Stegostoma tigrinum: one gene and its partners. The protein of the gene in region 1 interacts with the protein of each later gene in a biochemical or structural test. Links are inferred from orthologs where the notes say so. Each region holds a gene or a part of one and is shown on either strand. Other genes may lie near its edges. The genes, in order: ras-related protein Ral-A, exoc2 and phospholipase D1-like.

Region 1 (7,439 bases):
CAGCATCTTAGGAGCAGGAACACTGACGTTTCAGGCCTAGACAGGATCTTGTTATATTGGACTCCCCAGCATCTGTAGTTCCTATTATCTCTGGGTATAGGCCGTAGCAGCATTCTGGCTCTCATTGAACACAAACACTTCAGGAGTAGCCATATCCTCTAGCCAAGTTATTCCAGTACAGCTACAAACATTGGCACTGAACACAAGTTTAGGAATGTCTTTTCTAAGACACAGAACAATTTGACAAATTACTTTTAAATGCAAGATAGGTTGATTTAAGTGAACCATTTTGTTTCACTTTATTATAGAGAGGCTTTACACTTCAGGAAAAGAATCCCAAGATCTTTCCTGCTGTATGTGTTTGCATTTGGCTTCTGTGGTCTACGCTCCCAGCCAAAGTCATTAGAACAAGATATGTAAAATGACAGGAAAGAATTTTGCCAACTTTCAAACTCCTTTACTTGAACACCAAGTCTGGGACTAATGACACCGTTCTTGTTCAATCTGTCTGTGAAACTGACAGGTATTTTCCCACCTTCGTGGTCAATTATCTCAAATTCTCAAAGGCAGCCAAGCTTCACTACTACAAACTGGAATTGCACAAGTACTTCAGAGTACAGCCAGACGAGAACTTGGCATTTTCCACATTTCCCTGCATTGCTGTTACTGCTAAATGCATCAGCAAAAAGAAAAAAACTCCTGCACACCATCATGCCACTTGGCCAATTTCAGTGATGGGCAGTGTTAACAGGGTTACGAAGTGGATCTAATGTGGAAATAATCTGTTCCCTATCCAGTGGGACAAAATGAAAAAAATTGTGCTTATTGGAAAATAAGCACAATTGCTGAGGGGGTTCCTCAGTAGAATTCTACAACTATTCAGTTTACTTCAATGGTCATCCCTCCATTACAAAGATCAGAAGCAGGGATGTTTGCTGATGATTATAAAATACACACATCACAAGTTATCAGATAACTAAGCTGTGTCCACATACAGAAAGACCAGTATTTGACAAGTCATTTTATGCCCATACAGGTGCAAGTGTGTGCCATTTACAAAAATGCATTGCAGCAATTAACCAATGCTTGCTCAATGCACCTTCCAAATCTAACGAGAGGAACGGGCAACAGATACATGAAAACACGAACTGCAAGTCACCCTCCAAATTAAACACCATCCTGAGGTCAAACTATGTTGCTGATCCTTCACTATCATTGTGTCAACAGCCAGAAGCTGCTTCCCTACAACACTGTAGATGTATCTACACTGGGCAGACTGTAGCAGGTTCAAGTTAGCAACTCACCATCTCCTTCTCAAGGCCAACTAAAAACAGTCAATAGGTGGTGAACCTGACAGCAAGTTACATTTCATAATGTTTGGAACACCTTTTAAAATATGTCCATAACTGTTCCAGACCCAAAGAGAAGAACTAATTACCTGCTATTTACAGACAGAAGTCAGCTTGTACCTATTCTAGTAAGTCTCCCAAGGAAGACCTTGACATCCCTCAAAAAAAAATCCTCCAGAATTGGGCAATGCCAAAGGTGACTATCCAGTGACTTGAATAGAACTTTTTAAAAAAGCTTTTGTATTTTGGCAACTAAAGTAAAACTACAAAACCTGCACAATTTTGCATTTTATTTACTTTTCAGGGAGAAACCTGAATAATGCAAAAGGTAGAGAAATAAATTCTTATCCAGGGTTTTTTGGATAAGAATGTATCACATGCAGCTGTTCAATTAGTTAATCATAGCTTTTTAAAGGAACCTAATGGACAAAACAAAATAGCAAGCCATACAATCAGGGTATCATTGTTAATTCATTTCCCCTCAGTCAGAAACGTTGTGAAGTCAGTGCTTGGGCAAGAGGCTCTCAGTCAGGGCAGGACTGAAGAAATATTACATTCAAAAGAGCCACAGTTTATGCCTTCTAGTAACCATACATAGTTCTACTTATATCTTGGCTATTCATTCCAAAACTAAGTACAACTATTCAAATACAATTGATTTAATTGGACTCTACTGGATTTAAATGCCTACTTAAACTTTCTTCAAAGAACACTTCACTTCAGCCATATGGGTCTTCAAATAATAAAAACAACTTTCTTGACCCTCTTGGCATCCTAACATTATTTACAGTACAAGTAGTTTTAACATATAATCATTACTTCAATAAGTATATTGAATTGCCTTCTCATGGATGGTTAAACAAAAGGATACCCCCTCGTAGGCAAATAAACATTGAGCCAAATGGCCTCCAATTGTGCAAAGCATGCTGAGAATCAGTACAGATTAATATTAAATGTGAACTCTACACAATGGAGCTTCAAAGGGAAATGTGCAGCTGAGGAATGTTTAAACCTAAATGGTTAGGCTCCACTTTCAAACAGCACGTATTCAAACGACAAACTTCCAATTCAAAATCCCACAGGACCCAGTTATTGCAGGGTAAAAGAGGCCAAAGCATCATACCATCTCCTCGGACAGGATGGGGGCCTAAAGGGACTTCAGCAATATCCCCACCTTCTATGAGAAAGGTGGAAATCACACAATGATACCCCAAAGACGAAAAAGGGAAAGGAAACAGCCACATTATCAGAGATAATGGGAACTGCAGATGTTGGAGAATCCGAGATAAAAAAGTGTGGAGCTGGATGAACACAGCAGGCCAAGCAGCATCTTAGGAGCACAAAAGCTGACGTTTCGGGCCTAGACCCTTCATCAGAGAGGGGGATGGGGAGAGGATTCTGGAATAAATAGGGAGAGAGGGGGAGCCTCCACCCCAAAACAAAGGGGAAAGGGGGAGGGGTTTAAAACCAAACAATATCACCCCTCCATGAGTGGAAAAAAAAACAAACACACCCAATAGCACATCTCACCCAAACTGGAGAATGATCAGAGAACCATGTAATAGTGCTCTCCGGAGGGAGAAGAGGGAAAGGGGGGTCCCTCTTCTGTCCCGTCCCGCCTCGCCCCGAGGAGGGATCGCGCGCTGTGGGACCAACCGTCAGCTCGGAAACATTTCACGACCTCAGCCAGTGTCAAGACTTTAAAACACTCACCGGTCACCGCGTCGAAGAAGTGAGAAATCAACCACTGGTACTAAATGCAGATCGCTTACCAACCACCTCTCTACCGCCGCCCCGCCCGGCCGATCACTGTTAATATGGCGGAAGAGCGAGCGACGCTCGTCAGAAGGGCGGGGCGGGATTGGCGCGGCTACCGGAAATGGCGTGTAGCGCGCGACGTAAGTGTGGATGAACACTTCCGACACAATGGTGACTCCTGACTGGGATCATCAGGAGACTGGAGAGAGGCGTATGGTTGTGTTTTGTGGAGTGTATTTTTGGGAAAGTGACCTCGTTCCCTTCACATTAGATTTGTTTCACTTACGCTTATGAAAAACAGACTAGTTTCTGGCGGGGGTCAGCATCATCTGTGGTCCCAGCTAATCTTTTCATTTTCAATTTTTAACCAGCAACAGTTGATATTCTCTTCCACCATGAGATCTTCCATCTTCAACGGCGCAGACTAGTTTGTTTACTGTTAAGATATACCCTGCCTTTTCCTAATGACATTCAGCAGATTGCTTTGTTGACTCTTCTGAAAGCTTCAATGTCTATTACTTTTTTTCTGCTTTGGTTGGACAGGACTGGCAGTTTAATGTTCCAGGGTGTAGATGTTATAGGAGGGATTGAAAGGGGAGCAGGGGGGCATGGTGTTGATTAGGGGTAACATTATGGCTGTACTGAGAGAGGATATTCCTGGGCATATGTCTAGGGAAGATGTTTGGGTGGAATTGAGAAATAAGAAATGGATGATCGCCTCATTGGGATTGTACAATGGACCTAACCGCCCCCCCCCCCCCCCCCCCGCACCCAGTAGTCAGGAGATCTCAGTTATCTGTGAGAATAATAGCATGGTTATGGCAGGGGATTTAAATTTTCCAAACAAAGACTGCCATTGTGTTAAGGGCTTAGATGGAGAGGAATTTATTAAAAGTGTACAAGAACGTTTCTGATTCAGTATGTGGATGAACCTATTGGAGAAGGTGCAGACTCTGACCTACCTTTGGGAACTAAGGCAGGGCAGGTGACCATAATTGTATTGGATTTAAAATAGCGATAGAAAAGGATAGACCGGGTCTAAAAGTTAAAGTTCTAAACTGGAGGAAGGCCAATTTTGGCAATATTAGGCAAGGACCTTCAAAGGTTCATTGGGGGCAGATGTTCACAGGTAAGGAGACTGCTGGAAAATGGGAACTGTCAAAAATGAGATAACGAAACTCCAAAGACTGATGTCCATTTCAAGCCCACCGACTCCCACAGCACGTGGAACAGTCCCGCTTCCGCACCTACACAGGCCCCAAACCCCACCTCTTCCTCCGTTACATTGATGACTGTATCGGTGCCGCCTCTTGCTCCCCAGAGGAGCTCGAACAGTTCATCCACTTCACCAACACCTTCCATCCCAACCTCAAGTTCACCTGGGCCATCTCCAACACATCCCTCACCTTCATGGACCTCTCAGTCTCCATCTCAGGCAACCAGCTTGTAACTGATGTCCATTTCAAGCCCACCAACTCCCACAGCTACCTAGAATACACTTCCTCTCACCCACCCTCCTGCAAAAATTCCATCCCCTATTCTCAATTCCTCTGCCTCCGCTGCATCTGCTCCCAGGATGAGGCATTCTACTCCCACACATCCCAGATGTCCAAGTTCTTCAAGGACCACAACTTGCCCCCCACAGTGGTCGAGAACGCCCTTGACCGTGTCTCCCCCATTTCCCGCAACACATCCCTCACACCCCGCCCCTGCCACAACCGCCCAAAGAGGATCTCCCTTGTTCCCACACACCACCCCATCAACCTCCGGATACAACGCATCATCCTCCGACACTTCCGCCATCTACAATCCGACCCCACCACCCAAGACATTTTTCCATCCCCACCCTTGTCTGCCTTCCAGAGAGACCACTATCTCCGTGACTCCCTTGTTCGCTCCACACTGCCCTCCATCCCCACCACACCCAGCACTTTCCCCTGCAACCGCAGGAAGTGCTACACTTGCCCCCACACCTCCTCCCTCACCCCCATCCAGGCCCCAAGATGACTCTCTATTAAGCAGAGGTTCACCTGCACATCTGCCAATGTGGTATACTGTATCCATTGTACCCGGTGTAGCTTCCTCTACATTGGGGAAACCAAGCGGAGGCTTGGGGACCGCTTTGCAGAACACCTCCGCTCGGTTTGCAATAAACAACTGCACCTCCCAGTCGCGAACCATTTTAACTCCCCCTCCCATTCTTTAGATGACATGTCCATCATGGGCCTCCTGCAGTGCCACATTGATGCCACCTGAAGGTTGCAGGAACAGCAACTCATATTCCGCTTGGGAACCCTGCAGCCCAATGGTATCAATGTGAACTTCACCAGCTTCAAAATCTCCCCTTCCCCCACCGCATCCCAAAACCAGCCCAGTTCGTCCCCTCCCCCCACTGCATCACACAACTAGCCCAGCTCATCCCCTCCCCCCACTGCATCGCGAAACCAGCCCAGCCTGTCTCTGCCTCCCTAACCTGTTCTTCCTCTCACCCATCCCTTCCTCCCACCTCAAGCTCCACCTCCATTTCCTGCCTACTAACCTCATCCCACCTCCTTGACCTGTCCGTCTTCCCTGGACTGACCAATCCCCTCCCTACCTCCCCACCTATACTCTCCTCTCCACTTATCTTCTTTTCTCTACATCTTCAGTCCGCCTCCCCCTCTGTCCCTATTTATTCCAGAACCCTCACCCCATCCCCCTCTCTGAAGAAGGGTCTAGGCCCGAAACGTCAGCTTTTGTGCTCCTGAGATGCAGCTTGGCCTGCTGTGTTCATCCAGCTTCACACTTTATTATTCAGAGACAGTATATTCCTGTTAGGGTGAAGGGCAATGCTGTAGCTGTATGGAATGCTAGATGTCAGAGAAAATTGAGTTTTGGTCAAGAAAAAGAAGGAAGCATATGTCAGATATAGACAGCAGAAATTCAGTGGATCCCTAGAAGAGTACAAAGGCACTAAGAGTATATATAAGAGGGAAATCAGGGAGGCAAAAAGGGACATGAAATAGCTTTGACAAATAAGGAGAATCCAAAGATATTCTACAAATACATTAAGGACAAAGGGTAACTAGAGACAGAATAGGGACCCTTATGATCAGCAAGGCCACCAATGTGTGCAACTGCAGGAGATAGAACATAGAACAGTACAGCACAGAACAGGCCCTTCAGCCCACGATGTTGTGCCGACCATTGATCCTCATGTGTGCACCCTCAAGTTTCTGTGACCATATGCATGCCCAGCAGTCTCTTAAATGTCCCCAGTGACCTTGCTTCTACAACTGCTGCTGGCAACGCATTCCATGCTCTCACAACTCTCTGTGTAAAGAATCCGCCTTTGACATCTCCTCTATACTTTCCTTCAACCAGCTTAAAACTATGACCCCTCGTGATAGCCACTTCTGCCCTGGGAAATAGTCTCTGGCTATCAACTCTATCTATGCCTCTCATTATCTTGTATACCTCAATTAGGTCTCCTCTCCTCCTCCTTTTCTCCAACGAGAAAAGTCCGAGCTCAGTTAACCTCTCTTCATAAGATAAGCCCTCCAGTCCAGGCAGCATCCTGGTAAACCTCCTCTGAACCCTCTCCAAAGCATTCACATCTTTCCTATAATAGGGCGACCAGAACTGGAGATGGGGGAGATAATAGCGAGGAGGCTATGGCCTAAAGGTATTATTGCTTGTCTGTTAACCCAGAGACCCAGATAATGTTCTGATGATCTGGGTTCAGATCCCTCCATGGCAGATGGTGGAATTTAAATTCAGTAAAATATCTGGAATTAAGAATCTACTGATGACCATGAATCCATTGTCAATTGTCTGGGGAAAAACCCATCTGGTTTGCAACTGTCCTTTAGGGAAGGAACCACCATCCTTACCTGGTCTGACCTACATGTGACTCCAGACCCATACCAATGTGGTTGACTCTGAACTGCCTTCTGGGCAAATAGGGATGGACAATAAATGCTGACCTGTCAGTGAGGCTCTCACCCCATGAATGAATAAAAGAAACTAAACAGGTATTTTGCATCAGTGTTAACAGTGGAGAAGGGTATAGAATATAGAGAACAGGGGGAAATAAATAGTGACATCTTGAAAAATGTTCATATTACAGAGGAGGAGGTGCTGAACATCTTAAAATAAAAATGGATAAATCTCCAGGGTCTAGTGAAGTGTAGCCTAGAACTCTGTGAGAAGCTAGGGAAGTGATTGCTGGGCCACTTGCTGAGATATTTGTATCATCGAAAGCCGCAGGTGAGGTGTCGCATGCCTGGTGGTTGGCTAATATTGTGCCACTATTAAAGAAAGGTAGTAAGGAAAAGTTAGGGAGTTATCAAT
Region 2 (7,362 bases), on another chromosome or scaffold:
TCTAACGATGATCATGAATCCATTGTCAATCGTTGAACCTATCTGGTTCACTAATGCCCTTCAGGGAAGGAAACTGCCATCCTTACCTGGTCTAGCCTACATATAACTCCAGACTCACTGTAATGTGGTTGGCTCTTCACTGCTGTCTGGACAATAACTGCAAGCCCAGCCAGAAATGCCTTAATTCTGTGAATATATTAAGAAAAAAGTGCTGCAGCTTCAATTCCCACATTTGTCATAGTTCTGTGACAGTATCCTGAGATATCCTCAATCTGCAGCAAAACTGCACCTTGTTCCTCTGAGGGAAATGGCATGTAGCACAAAAGGCTCTACAATGTATAGGAAGGTTAGAGACAATTGTTGGAGGATCAGACATTTTCCTGCTGACATTGTGGATCTCATCACTGCCTATCTCACCTGCTTTACTCAAAATTCTTGTCAATGCCCTGACTTTCAGGAACTGGGAAGATTCTGCCTTTAATGTCTGGGTTTTCTGAAACAAAAATCAATCCTTGATTATCCTAAACTGAAAACAAGCTTCAATGCCTTCAGTGATTACTCTACCTGCCGTAAACCACCCCAGTACAAACAATTTTCCATCAACTCTTCACGGCATTCCTGCTCTCTGACACACACTGGATTAGATCACTGTTCAAAAAACACTGCCTCAACTAACTTTCTTCAAAAAAAACTTCATAAAAGGAGGTCACTATCTTAAAATCCAACACCTAAAAGTGATATTCATAAGCTTGTACATATTTCACACATACCTCTTTTGTTTCACCTACCAACTTTGTTTGCATTAAAGCCCACATGGTCATTGGCCACTTTGTTTGTTTAACCACTTTCTCAAATGAGATGAGAAAGGCTTCTACATTCTTCTCGTCAAATTCAAGCAATGCTTGGATATATTTAAACATATTTCCCACCAGGCCTTTGGCTACAATGGGTTTGCTCCACGTCACTACCTTCCTCACTAAGCCTACCTGCTACCTTCACCTCCATCTTTCTATGTCAAGTTTCCTGTCTAACTGCCAACTTCTAAAGTTCAAACTCTCTCTCTTTCTTCTACTAGAGCCTTTCTCTCCTTTTCTATTTGTTCTGCCAGAGTGATTCTTTCCTTTTCTCTTTCTTCTGTTTTCAACCATAATTCAAATTATTTCAGTTCAAGCTGCTTCATCTGCAATTGAATTCTAGCCATTTCCAAAGATTCCAATGACATTTCCTGCAAACTTAAATATCAAGCTGTTGCTGTAATGATCTCTCCTTTTCTTGTAAAGACAACCCCAAATACAGCTTGTCTGCCAATTCCAACAACTTTGCCTTGCTCACCTGTTGTGAATCTCCCAAAGTAACTTCTTCTACCTCCGGAGAACTCCTAGTGACTGAAAGAGGCATTACCACACAAAGCACTGTTTGAACCAACCAAATTCACCACCTGAAACAAAAGACACAAACCCCTACCACTTCCCACCTTTGAGTCTAACAACCCTAAAGCCAAACTGGAATTATAGAATTATCCTGACAAGAGGCCCCAACCTGTTATGGACCAGGCCAGACCCCCTCAAAATATTTTAGAAGGTAGCCTAGATCCTAACTTTTCCTTATTTTAAAGGTGGATGTAAAGTGGGTGTTCCAGCTGTGATGTAACTGGTCAAACCACTTGGCTTAAAGCAAAACACAATTTATTAAAACACTACAGTTAAAACATGAACAAAAGAAAGTAGAATTTAGAATAACTTAAATATAGGAAAACTTAACCAAATACTCAATACAGTAACTTAACAAATAGCTGTTCCAATATAGTAACATTGCATAAACACACTCCTTGGCAAAAAGGTAAATTCAAACACAGATCGCACTGGCAGGAGGGAACAACAGCCAGAGAGATTCCAGAGAAAGTCTGCTTAGAATAATTTACTGAAGCTTGCAACCCTCTGCTAATCAAAACATTTTGTGACTGCCACAGCGAAAAAAGTTCAGAAAAAAACGTGAACTGGGTAATCGGCCATAACCCTTCTAACTGTTACTTCCTGGTCTCTTCTGTACTTCTACCTTTACAACCTCTCTTCAAAAAAACTAAGAGCAAAATAACCTTTTTAAACTGATAGCATTGTCACATACCGCAGAAGTCTTTTACATGCCTTTGTTACCTCTACAGTACACAATGTTCATTCTCTTCCATTTAAACTTAAATCCTAAGCCAGCAGCCAATGTCCCAAACTGCAACAGGCCTTGCTCCTTCATTATCCCGGATGGAGCTGATTTACACTGGGTTGAGCAACACCTTGAATTTAAAATAGCCATCATTGTTTCCAAAGTCTACCCATTTCCTTGCTTCCTCATATCTTTGTTACTTCCATCAGCAATACAACGTGATAAAATACCTGTTCAATTTACATATTCACAAATTTACCAGCACTACTATTGGCAGCCCCTTCAGCTGCTCAGGTCATAGTAAAACTCTGGGAATCTGTCCATAAATTTCTCTGTCTCTCTTTCCTTCTTTTAAGAAACTGTTTATAATTTGAATATTTTTAGGCCTTTTATGTAAGGAAAGATATATTAGCATTGGAGGCAGTCCAAAGAAGGTTCCCCAGGTTGATCTGGTGTAGGGAGACATTTTCATATGAAGTGAGCTGGAGTAGCTTGGGCTTGTACTCATTGCAGTTTAGAAGAATTAGAAAGGACTTGCGAGGGTAGATGCACACAAGTTGTTTCCCCTTGTAGGAATGTCAAGGAACTGAGTGCATAATCTTAGTGTTCAGCGTTGCCCATTTACGACAGAAATTAGATAGATTTTATTCTCCCAGAGGGTGGTAAATCTATGGAATTTCTTGATGCAAGGCAACCAAGGATTTTGGAAATAAGGTAGGAAAATGAATTGAAAGGAGGACTTGAAGGGTTGACTGGGCTACTTCAGCTTCTATGTCTTGTTGTCTTATATTGGCTTGGCCACTGGTGAGAATGCTGTCACTCTTCTTTGAAAAAAATAGTGGGATGCTTTACGTTTAACTGAGGGAAAATGAAATCTTTAGGTGAAAACCTGATTGAAAGGCCCTCGTAGAACAGCCAGTTGTCTCCTACATTTAGCATCAACCTCCAGATAACTATTGAAAGCAATCTGGATAATTTGAAATATTATTTTAAGCAAATAAATATGCTGTAAACAGGTACTGAGATGGGTGGCACACACAGATCATGAATCATATTGGGTAAAAGTTTTCTATGGTGTGTATTTGTAGGAGAAAACATATGTACACTCTAGGTTGATGGCTTACTCGACAAGGGGTGCTCAGCAGCCACCCTTGCTCGTACATTGAGTGCAGGGAACACAGCACTTCTGCAGGAAGCAATTGGCAGGTCTTGGGATCATGTATCTAAATGAGCATACAGGCAGCTCTTACTGCCTGGTCTTGGGTCCCATTTGTTTTTACACCATAATCTGCAAAAATGAAAACCATGAAGAGAGAGCAGGCTACGGTTACCCCAGTAGAAGCAAAGTAGCTTCTCCTCGGTACCCAGGGTGTGTATCCAGGGATATCATCTTTCATGGATGCCTATAAGTTTGTATTTGGCACAAGGCAAGGCAATGATTGAATTCGGGTAAGCATTTAGCTTTATCCGCCCCAGAAAAAAATATCATGATTGAGTGATGCTTGAACATGCCGACATTTCTGTGGCATTACTCTACAATTAGCGAGGGTGGGGTGCATTGAAGGGTAGGGACAGACCTTTCAATAGTGGACAAGAATAAGCTGCAGATGCTGGAAATCAGACACACACACAAAAACAGAAATTGCTGAGGGGTACGATGCACAGCCGGTCTATGGAGAGAAAGTAAGAGTTGATCAGGTCCAGTGATGGTTATTTTTGCTTCCATCGCATGATTTTCCTCCTAGTGTCTGACACAGAAAGCTCTGACAGATTCACTCCCCTGCAGCACTGCACCAGCATTTAGTGCCTGAGTTCCAAAACGAAGACTTGCACCAACAGCCTCAAGCACGGCAAAGCAAGGAGACTAACGACTACACCACACTCGCCAGCCAGCACGAACGCCCTGGCAACAAGATGCGGACCTCATCCACGCCGCAACGGAGGAGGTGGTCACGTGACCTACCCGTTACACCCATTTCCCCTTCCCCCGGCGGTGGTTTACAGCTTGACCCGGATGTTGTTTTGCGTGGCCGGTGATGGAGCAGTGCGGGTGAGATCGGTGGGGCGAACGATTGACTGACTGACTGACTGAGTGAGTGAGTGAACGAACGAACGGGAAAAGCGCTCGGTCTCCATTGCACCCTGGTTGCCGGCAGTTACCGGTCTGGTCCGGTGTAATCCAAGCCCCGGTGGGGCTCGCCCTGACTGGGTGGGCTCCTCCGGGACTGAGGTGGAGGCTGGGCCGCCTCTGGGTTAAGGTCGTCCCTGACCTTTGGTGTTGCACCGCTGCAGCCCCAGGTCCTCACCGCAAGAAGCTCAAGTCCGATTAAAACAGGCCGTTTTTGTTTTGCCCAGGTGGTTTGACAGGTTCGTTTCATCTTGTTAAAGTTCACCTTGTTTGATGCTCTGATCGCCGCAGTTGATTGATTTCACTGTCCGACTATTTATTTGATTAAGCCAGGCCACCGCGAACAGTAAAATTGCCATAGTCCTACCAAACCATAGAAAAGACGACCGCTGGTGGTTTAACTTGAGGGTTACCACACTTTAGACAAAGGGCGAGCTGGAAAAGGTGGGGTCTTCATGGTCACCTCAACTGGTGCGGGAACAGTTGTGATGAGTAGAGAAATAGTCTCGAAACGCGTGGTGATCCAGCTTATTCTTTTCAATCTGAGCGTGCGCTGGGCAAGATCAACATTAGCATGGTCAGCATTATTTGAAGTTAGAGTCCATTCATCATAAAAGTGAATGGAGTCATCTTAGGCTTCACGGGTTAGGCATGGCATAGCATTGTGGAACAAGTGTTCATATTCAAGATCCTCTTGGTTGTTAGGTGATTAATGCTGTCATGAAAATGTACCGTGTTTTATCTGAGGACGCGATATTTGCCATGAGCAGTCGATTTTTAATCTTTAGACTAATGGTAGCGAAATGAAATGTTTGTTAGTTGACTAATTTGGTGGTTTTCAGCTTGCCAGTCAGTTGGAAGCTATAAATCTAAAAAACACAATTTGTACCTGCTACAAAAGGAAATTTAAAAGATTTTTTTAAGCTGAACACAAAAAATGTCTGTCCAGATATTGAGATCTCCAGGTAGTTTTCAACCTCGAGAAATAATTGGCTTGTTTGGGAAAAGATGTGGTTAGTAAGTTGATACATACGCATGATGTGTGCCAACAGCCAGATTTTTTTCTTGTAATTTGATGAATCTATGATATACTGTGGAAAGACTTTTTTAAAATTCACTCTGACTTGCTGTTGTAGCCGTAATATTTATATTGCTGGCCCAGTTCAGCTCTGGTCAATGGTAACTCCCCAAGATGGCAGTGCAGAATTCAGTGATGATAATGCCATTGAATGTTGAAGCGTGATGGTTAGATTCTCTGTTGATGATGCGCATTGTCTAGGCATATTTCTGGTGCAAATGTTACTTGCCACTTCTCAGCCCAACTGTGGAATATGTCCATGTCCTGTTGCATTCAGAGGCTGAGGAGTTGCGAATGATAGCGTGTTTTATCTGAGGACATGATATTTACCTTCAGCAGTCAATTTTTAATCTTTATACTAATGATAGCTAAATGAAATGTTTGTTAGTTGACTAATTTGGTGGTTTTCAACTCGCCAGTCTTATGGTCGAGGGAAGCAGCAAAGTTGAATGGGCTTTGGATATTCCCCCTAAAGAACTTTTGTGTGAAATGATTTTAGTGTCTCTTTCCCTACAATTTTTAAACTGGTTAACTGTTGAAGTATAGGCTTATCGTTGTCCAACTTAGAAAGGCTGCACATATCTATCTAGTCATAATCAGAAAATTATCTGCGATGGCTACTTTCTCATTCTGACATTGCTAGCCTGAGGTAACAATGACCTATGCTAGGTCTGCTCTTATTCTCTTGCTGCCCCTCTGTGACATTCTGTGAAAGTACAGTGTTAGATTCCTGCATATACATTGGCAAAACACAGCTTCACTTCCTCTTTTACCATCTGCTGTCTTGAAATTTTCTGATGATATGATATCCAGTACTTTCAGTAGAACTTTTTATTTTCAAACTGAATGTTGAAAAGACTTTAATTATTGTCTTCCACTCAGCCTGAAATAACTGCAGAGAAGTCGCGTGCCATCACCAAATCCCCTTTTATTTGCTCTTGCATAGTCCACTGGCTGCGGCCAGTTAGTTCGGAGTCAGTCCTCAATTGGGAAGATTCCAAGCCCCTGGTTATTTTCTTTTCTGGCTTTTTTTTTGTAAATTCAAAAACCAGAAAGATACAGTGTCATAAACACATTACATAGCATCAGTCACTATACATAAAAATAAGTTGCCAAAGAGCAGAGACATTTAGGATAGAACGTCCTAAACAATGACATCTGAATTTAAACAGTAAATCCAAAGTCCACATTAAGTTAGTGACTTAAACACACCATGTGGCAAAGTCACTAGGCAACAAGAAATTTTGTCGAAGAGCAGAGACGTTGACGTAGAACGTCGTATAGAAACACATCTTATTTGCAACAGTAGTACAAAATATTACAAGTAGACATACATTCAAGTCCACATAAGGTTACGGAGTATCAAACACGATACGTGGCAAAGTTCCTATGCATCAAGGCAAGCTGCTAAAGAGCAAAGACATGGAATTAGAATATCGTATAGAAACATCTCATTTCAAACAATAGTACAGAATGTTATAGATAAGCGCGCATTCTAGGGCTATCGGTTGGCCTGCACATGGACCAGCAAGATACAAAGGCATGATGCATACACAAAAGCATATTCTAAACAGGAAGGCAAAGTCCAGCACATGAAAGCTCAATCTTGGACCCATACACTGAAACTTGTGTCACAAAGTCTGGGTCCTGTTACCACGTTACCCTTTCATTTTACCTGTACAACAGTACCACTGGCTGTAGTGAGCCAGCTCTGAGTCAATCCTCAATTGAGGAGATTATAATCTCCTGATTATATCGGTCAGCTAAATCTTTTCTGATTGGCCCAGGTTAATAACCCCAATGAAGAACCTTGTTAATGATGTCAACCTATTTCCCAATCACTACACAGCCCCAACTGCTGTCCTCCAGCTTCGGGTTCCATTCCACTCCCTGGCTATTCTCAAGTGGAGTCATACTATTTGTAACTGTACTCACATTGGACTTCAACATGAGCTTCTAATAACTAAGGCTGTCTGCTTTCCCCTCCATAATATTGTAT
Region 3 (7,173 bases), on another chromosome or scaffold:
TATGGTTCTTGGACATAAACTCAAATCCCACCATGGTATCCTGCAGAGAAGGGAAGCTGCCATTCCTACTTTGTCTGGCGCTGCATGTAACTCCAGTAATGTGGTTAACTCTTGACTCTAATCTGGGCAATTAGGAACGGGCTATAAATGCTGGTCTAGGCAGTAACACCCACATCCTGTGATTGATCTTGTTAAAAATTAAACATGCCAAAGAAATGCCAATATTGCTTTAAAGAATTTCTTGCAATGAGCTATCACAGCCTGCCCCACACAGATCTGAATTTGAGTGCTAGTGCAGGATGTCTAACACAATGAACATTTCAAATATTCAGTACACATAAAACTCAGACTGTTTATTTTGGATTGTCACCCTCTAACTGCGATTGAGCCAAATCCCTGACGTGATATTTCATGAACAATACAAGTTGACAGCCTGAATGTGGAGCTCACAAATTTACACGTACCAAATGGAAAATTATACCATGAAGGATGAGGGAATGTATGCTGGAATACATTGAGGAATGCTGTAACAGCTTGTCACTTGATTCTGGGATGTTTATCAGGAGCAAAACACAAAACTTTTAGCTGAGATTTACTGTATAATATTTGTAATGCTTTCACTGACTTTGGGAGTAACACCTGCATAGATTTTAGCAGTAGAGCACCTCCCCTGTTAGATATGGTACTACCTATTAGATATGCTGTACCTTATCTGTTGGATATGGGATATTTCACCTGTTAGATATAGGATACCTCACTTGTTAGATAGGGATACCTGTCTTGTCAGTCATTGTGCACCTCAATTTTAGACTTGAGGAAATTTATCTATTAGCAATGGCAATGGGACACCTCACTTAATAGCCATGGAAGCCTCACATGTTGGCAGTGACATTGGATATCATACCAGACAAACTCTGGAACGTACTCATAACAAAGCTCTGTGCATAGTGGTACTCAGCTTCACCTGCTTCATTTGTTATATCCACTTCCTTTTCATTCAATCACACAAGGTGAGGATCATTATCACTTGTTGTCCTTCCTCATTATTTTTGAGAAAGTGGTGTTGACTTCTTAAGGTTGGAAAATCAGAGAGTCATTTAGAGCACAGAGGGAGGCCATTCAGTCCATCAGGTCCATGCCAGCTCACCACAGAGAGATCCAACTTTCCAATTCTATTCTTGTAATCCTGTAGGCTCATTTCTTTCAAATGCCAGTCAATTTGCTCTTGAAAATATCTTTATGGGCAATGAATCATAGCCCATTATCACTCATTGTGTAAAATAGCTTTTCCTCCCATTGTCTCTGAATCTCTTGACCAACGACTTAATTTTGTGTCACCTAGTCCTTGCATGGGAACATCTACAGTACATCTGGGGTAGATGCACTGTCAGTGTCCAACAAAGGAGGTCCTAAAATTTCAACCTAAAGTTCCAAGGCAAGAGGGTTGGATGGAATGGTTGGTAGTCATGATCCCAAGGATCAGCTACTCTTTGTGGTTTATGGGTGTAGTGACGGGTTTGGAGGCTGAAGTCAAAGGAGCCTTGAGAAGATGCTTATTGTCAGGAAATTAGTAAGCCTGAAGATTGGGAGCATTTTAGAATTCAGCAAAGAAGGTATAGGGAACTGATAAAGAAAGGGAAAATGGAATATGAATGTAAAATAGCAAGAGGCTCCCTTCTGGCACAGTGGTAGTGACCCTCTCACTGGACCAGGAGGCCCAGGTTCAAGTCCCACCTGCTCTAGAGGTCTATAATGACAGGTCTGAACAGTTTGATTAGAAAAATAGGTATTAAAATTGTATTTCTCTTCACAGTAGAAATTACAAAACTCTCCCAGAGATTATCAGAGTCAGAAGACTAGGACAAATGAGGAACTAAAAGAACTCAGTATTCATAAAGAATGACCAATAAACATAATGAGACTGAAAGTTAACAAGTCACCAGAACCTGATCATTTCATTATTGACATTTTCACATGTTAAGCAACAAGGGAGGGAGAATATGGGAACTACAGACCTGTAAATCTGATGTCAGCAGTAAAGAACATACCGTGATTAGTTATAAAGCTTATGATAATTGCACAATAAGAAAATGCTAACCAGTTCCAGCAGAGTCCACATGGACGTATAAAGTAGAAATCACATTTTACAAACATATTCGCTTTTCGGGGGATATTACTGTTATATATAAAAACGCTTAATATCTGTGCTTTGAAGACACTTTATATTTAATATTGCTAACAGGCATTAAGTTCTGCAGGAATGTGGAAAATTCATTTATTTCAAGTTTTGTGCAAAAACCTGAATTTATTTATTTGAAAGAGGTCATTGAAAGTTCACTGCGGACATTAAACTAAAAGTTTCCTGTAAGTCATGTGACTGGTGATAGCTACATGCTTTTGCTGTTGACTTCTGCTTGAGTTGGTTTGAGAAGTGTTGAGAACAGTGATTGACTTGGAGAGGTTTTGTCTAATCTCCATGAAATCTCATGGCATCAAGTCAAACAAGGGGAAGGAAACTCCTGTGGGTTAATATGCATCATCCTCCCTCAACTGATGAATCAGTGCTCCTTCACATTCAACACCACTTGGAAGATGCACTATGCATGTCAAAGGTGCAGAATGTAGTGGGTGGGTTCAATGTCTATCACTGAGTCATTTGGCAGCGTCACTACTGTCTGAACTGGTCAAGTCCTAAAGGACATAGCTGTTAGACTGAGTCTGCAGCAGGTGCTGAAGAAACCAATTTGAGGGAAATGTACACTTAACCACATCCTCATCAATCTGTCTAGTGCAGCTGCATCTGCCCATGGCAGTCACAGCAAGAGTGACCAACAAATGGTCCTTGTGGAGGCTAAGTCCTGCCTTCACATTGAGAACATTCTCCATTCTATTGTGTGGCATTATAAGTGGTAAATAGGGCATGTTACATATTCAACCAAAGCATTTAACTTCATAGTCTATCATAGCTACCCTGACCATCACCCTGCAAGGTCAGCCTGGTTGAATGCAGGAGGGCATGCCAGGAGCAGTACCAGACAAACCTACAAATGAGGTTTCAAACTAGACAAGTCACAATACAGGATTACCTGCATGCCAAAGAGCAGAGTCAGCATGCAACAGACAGGGCTAAGTGTACTTACAATCAAAGGATCAGACTTAGGCTCTGTAGGCCTGCCACATCCAGTTGTGGACAATTAAATAACTCACCAGAGGTGGAGACACTGCAAAAGAACAAAAACAAGTCTTTAATGTATTCAAGCAGGGAGTGCAACAGCTAATATATATATATATGACCTGTGGAATCCACAGTCATAAAATAAGCTTGGTAGCTCAGAGATTAGAACTGCTGCCTCACAGCGCCAGGGATCTGGGTTCGATTCCAGCCTCATGCAACTGTCTACGTTGAGTTTGCACATTTTCATCATGTCTGCATGGGTTTTCTTTGGGCACATCGGTTCCTCCCTCTGTCCAAAGATGTGTCAGTTAGGTGGATTGGTCACGCTATGTTGCCCATGGCATCTGGAGATGTGCAGGCTAGATGGATTAGCCGTGGGAAATACAGGGTTACTGGAATAGGGTAGGGGAGGTCGGTCTGGGTGGGTTACTCTTCAGAGGAGCGGTGCAGACTCAATGGACCAAATAGCCTGCTCCCACACCGTAGAGATTCTAAAGTATGAAGCACTTGTACTGGAAGTCTATGAACCACTGCAATCTGTGATTACACAATACCCTCCACTCCAGGTTACTGCTGGAAATCAGAAGGACTCCTCCGCAACCAAAACCCAGCAGCAAAACAGAGTGCTGACGTGTGTCTGGATAGTGGATAACAATGCTTTTCGCTTTCTTGTTCTTTAAAATCTTTTATACAGTGCTGAAGGTTTTTTTTTATCACCACCAAATCACCTGATGAACCTAGCATCTTTTCAGTGAACTTATTACACATCTCTGGTGTGATTGTCATTGTGAACCCAGGTCTCCTGGCCCAGAGATAGGGGCATTACCACCATATCACAAGACGATTAAGAGGACAATTTTGGGGCATGTTGTAAACACACACACACACACACACACACACACACACACACACACACACACACACACACACACACACACAAAAGTTGTGGCAGATAGATTCCAAAAAATTCTGCCCAGGAATCCTCTATGAGTGCTAACAATTATTTCTGGTGGGTTTTCAGCTCACTTGTTCTGTGGAGAAGTGTTGCAAAGAGAGAGTGGGCTTTTGCTCTTCAAGTTGTTCAACTTTTCTGTGACTGAGTTCAAAAATTATTACACTCACAAACTAGTCATATGACCTGTCCCTGAAAGTTCAGACTGTGCAATCGCATCCAAGTACTTTGCTCCTTGAAAGTGCATCAGGGAGTTGGACCAGTGCCTTTTCCCTGAGCAAAGTGCCCTTTGATTAAAAGTTGAAAACATATTTATATGGGCCCACCTAATCTTTCAAAAAATTATACTCAGATCACAACCCTTCACAGCAATATGTATGAGGTTCTGAAACAAATTGGTGCAAGGCATTACTTGGCTCACTGCAGCAGATCCTATCAAACCTGAGTACGCAGACTTTCACCTGTCTGAGATGACACACAGTTTCACTCCTTGAACCAGGTCCAAAGTGCAGCTTATGAAAACATAATAAAGCAACGGCCATTGCAAAATTCTGCACGACACAGACTTCAATTAAAAGGAACAAAGACCTGTATTAATTAAGCTTCATTCGTTTCCTAACCACAGGATGTCCCAAACCCTTCTCAGCCAATGACATTCTTTTGAAGTGCTATTACTGTAGTTGGCAAGGAGTTAGCTGTAGTTTCAGTCGACACCAGTTTCTTGTGAGATATGTTAAAGGTTTTCACCACTTTCAACAAAAACACCACAACAGCCATGTGTTTACACTGAGACACTTTGGTAAAGTAAACAAGGTGCTCCTTTTAAGAAATAATGTGACTATGTCACATAGACAGATATTCACTCAGGTGACCAAAAGCTTGTTTAAAGAGATAAATTTAAAGGTGTTTCTTCAAGGATGAGTGAAAGGAAGAGTGGTGGAAAAGTTAAGGGCAAGAATTCCAGAGCTCAGAGAAAGCACCGATACCAATGGTGGAATGATTAATATCATTGTTCAAAAAGGTCTCAAATTCCCTCCATAAAACTCACTGCCTCCTTACCGCACCACCTTCTATTTAGCCTCTCCTTAAAACATACCCCTTTGAACAAGTTTTTGGTCACCTGTCCTCATATTTCCTTAAATGACTTGATGACACCTATTGTCAATAATTGATCCAGCTTGAGGTGCTCTGGGAGAGTTTCCAGCATCACAGAGGTGTTATGGCACAGAAGAAGGCCATTCAGCCTATTGTGTCTGCATCAATGCCCTCTCATATGTCTCAATGCAATCTGCATCCACCACACTTCCAGGCAGTGCATTTGCTATCCTAACGCCTTGCTGTGCGAAATGGTCTTTTTTTCCTCACATCCCATTTGCTCCGTTAGCAAATCACTTAAAATCCATGCCCATTGTTTCTTGTTCATCACCCAAGCAGGAGCAGTTCCTTCCAATATACTCTATCCAGCCCACTCATGACTTTGAACACCTTTATCAAATCTTTTCTTAGCCTTCTTCTCTCCAAGAAGAACAGTCTCAACCTCTCCAATCTATCCACAGAACTCAAGTTTCTAACCTTTGGAACTATTCTCATTAATCACTTCTGCACTGTCTCGAATGTGTTCATGTGCTTCTTTTAATATGGCATCCAAAAGAATAGAGAACATTCGTGAACCAGCTGGATTATTATAACAATTGAAGTAAGCTTCATGGTCACTTCTTCTAAGGTTATGTTTATGTTCGAGGTGTATTAAGTGTATTTAAAATCCATTTAAAGCGATTTTGGGATTTGAACCCATGAACATTAACCTGTAGTTCTAGATTTACATTCACAATATTGACTGCTATATCACGCCTCTCTCACAATGTAAAGGGTGGCATATTAACAGGGCACACAATGGCTCAGTGGTGAGCATTGCTGATTCTCAGTGCCAGGGATCTGGGTTTGATTCCAGCCTCAGGTGACTGTCTGTGTGCAGTCTACACATTCACTCCATGTCTGTGTGAGTTTCCTCCCACATTTCAAATATGGGAAATGCTGGGTTAAAGGGTAGGATGATGGATCTGAGTGTGATGCTATTTGGAGGGTCCACACTGGGCCAAATGGTCTGAATCCGCACCGTAGGAATTCTAAGAAATGTAACTGTTGCCTTATTGAAGGATTATTATTTGGCCTTGTCTCAAAGCTTTGGACTTGAATGGGACATCTCAAAAACAAATTTTGAAGTTTTTCTTGATACCAGTATAAAATCAGCAGTTGTATGTTTTCCTTAATGAGTTAAGATCAAAAACTGAAAGTCATTTTCACAGCAGAAACAAGACTTCCAGAGATTGAGATCAGCAGTAGATCAAATACAGCTTCCGAAGCCCAGTGGACTTCTCTATATCCTGTGGGCAGGACTGTCACCTTAGCCCACATCCTTTTTGTTAAGATCCTTTCAAGCTGTCGGAATCTCCTATTAACCCTTCACTTACCATTTGAGGGCTGAGAAAAAGGAATTCTCACATAGCCGGCATTCCAGGGGAGGACAAAGAGAATGTGACAATGACACCATGAAGCTGTCCTCACAGGATGGCAGCGTCTGGGAGGAGTTCACCACCAATTCTCCACCAAGAAAAATCGCATTTGAGACACCACTCCTAAACATTGAGACAGAGCAGGAAAACGAAAGAAGCAAGTCCTGCAGTCCAGACTTTACTCTTCAGGCAATATCCTGCCCCCTCCGCCCAAAGATGTGTGAGTTGCAAAACGGCCTGTTCCCTCACATGCAGGCCCATGACCAAGAGAAGCCAGTATTGTCACACAGCCAGTGGTAGGTCCCAATATTGCTCCAACAACTCATTTATTTCATTTATAAATTAAATATTGGAAACTTCTCGGGTTTAATCCGCTGCATGTGGGATCTTGCCAACCTGAGTGAGTATAGAGAACACCTTTTCAGTAAAGAGCATCATTTTCATGAATACTTGACAATTTAAATATCCCATCACCACACCACATCATTGAGAAACAAATAAAAACATAAGAAGTAGGAACAGGTAAGGCCATT

Evidence for each region.
Region 2: the proteins of ras-related protein Ral-A (region 1) and exoc2 are reported together in a solved structure, tested with the Homo sapiens proteins (2 studies listed by BioGRID, with this or other methods). The link is inferred for Stegostoma tigrinum from reciprocal best matches to the Homo sapiens genes RALA and EXOC2.
Region 3: the proteins of ras-related protein Ral-A (region 1) and phospholipase D1-like form a complex in vitro, tested with the Homo sapiens proteins (2 studies listed by BioGRID). The link is inferred for Stegostoma tigrinum from reciprocal best matches to the Homo sapiens genes RALA and PLD1.

What each region holds. Positions count from the first base shown.
Region 1 is NC_081358.1:10,034,642-10,042,080, forward strand, and holds the start of ras-related protein Ral-A, read right to left. Parts: upstream 3,196-7,439; 5' UTR 3,063-3,195; intron 1-3,062. UniProt on the Homo sapiens protein: Multifunctional GTPase involved in a variety of cellular processes including gene expression, cell migration, cell proliferation, oncogenic transformation and membrane trafficking.
Region 2 is NC_081355.1:15,618,043-15,625,404, forward strand, and holds the start of exoc2 (exocyst complex component 2), read left to right. Parts: upstream 1-4,150; 5' UTR 4,151-4,207; exon of another isoform or gene 4,208-4,249; intron 4,250-4,296; exon of another isoform or gene 4,297-4,524; intron 4,525-7,362. UniProt on the Homo sapiens protein: Component of the exocyst complex involved in the docking of exocytic vesicles with fusion sites on the plasma membrane.
Region 3 is NC_081367.1:57,537,442-57,544,614, forward strand, and holds the start of phospholipase D1-like, read right to left. Parts: upstream 3,160-7,173; 5' UTR 3,141-3,159; intron 1-3,140. UniProt on the Homo sapiens protein: Function as phospholipase selective for phosphatidylcholine. Implicated as a critical step in numerous cellular pathways, including signal transduction, membrane trafficking, and the regulation of mitosis.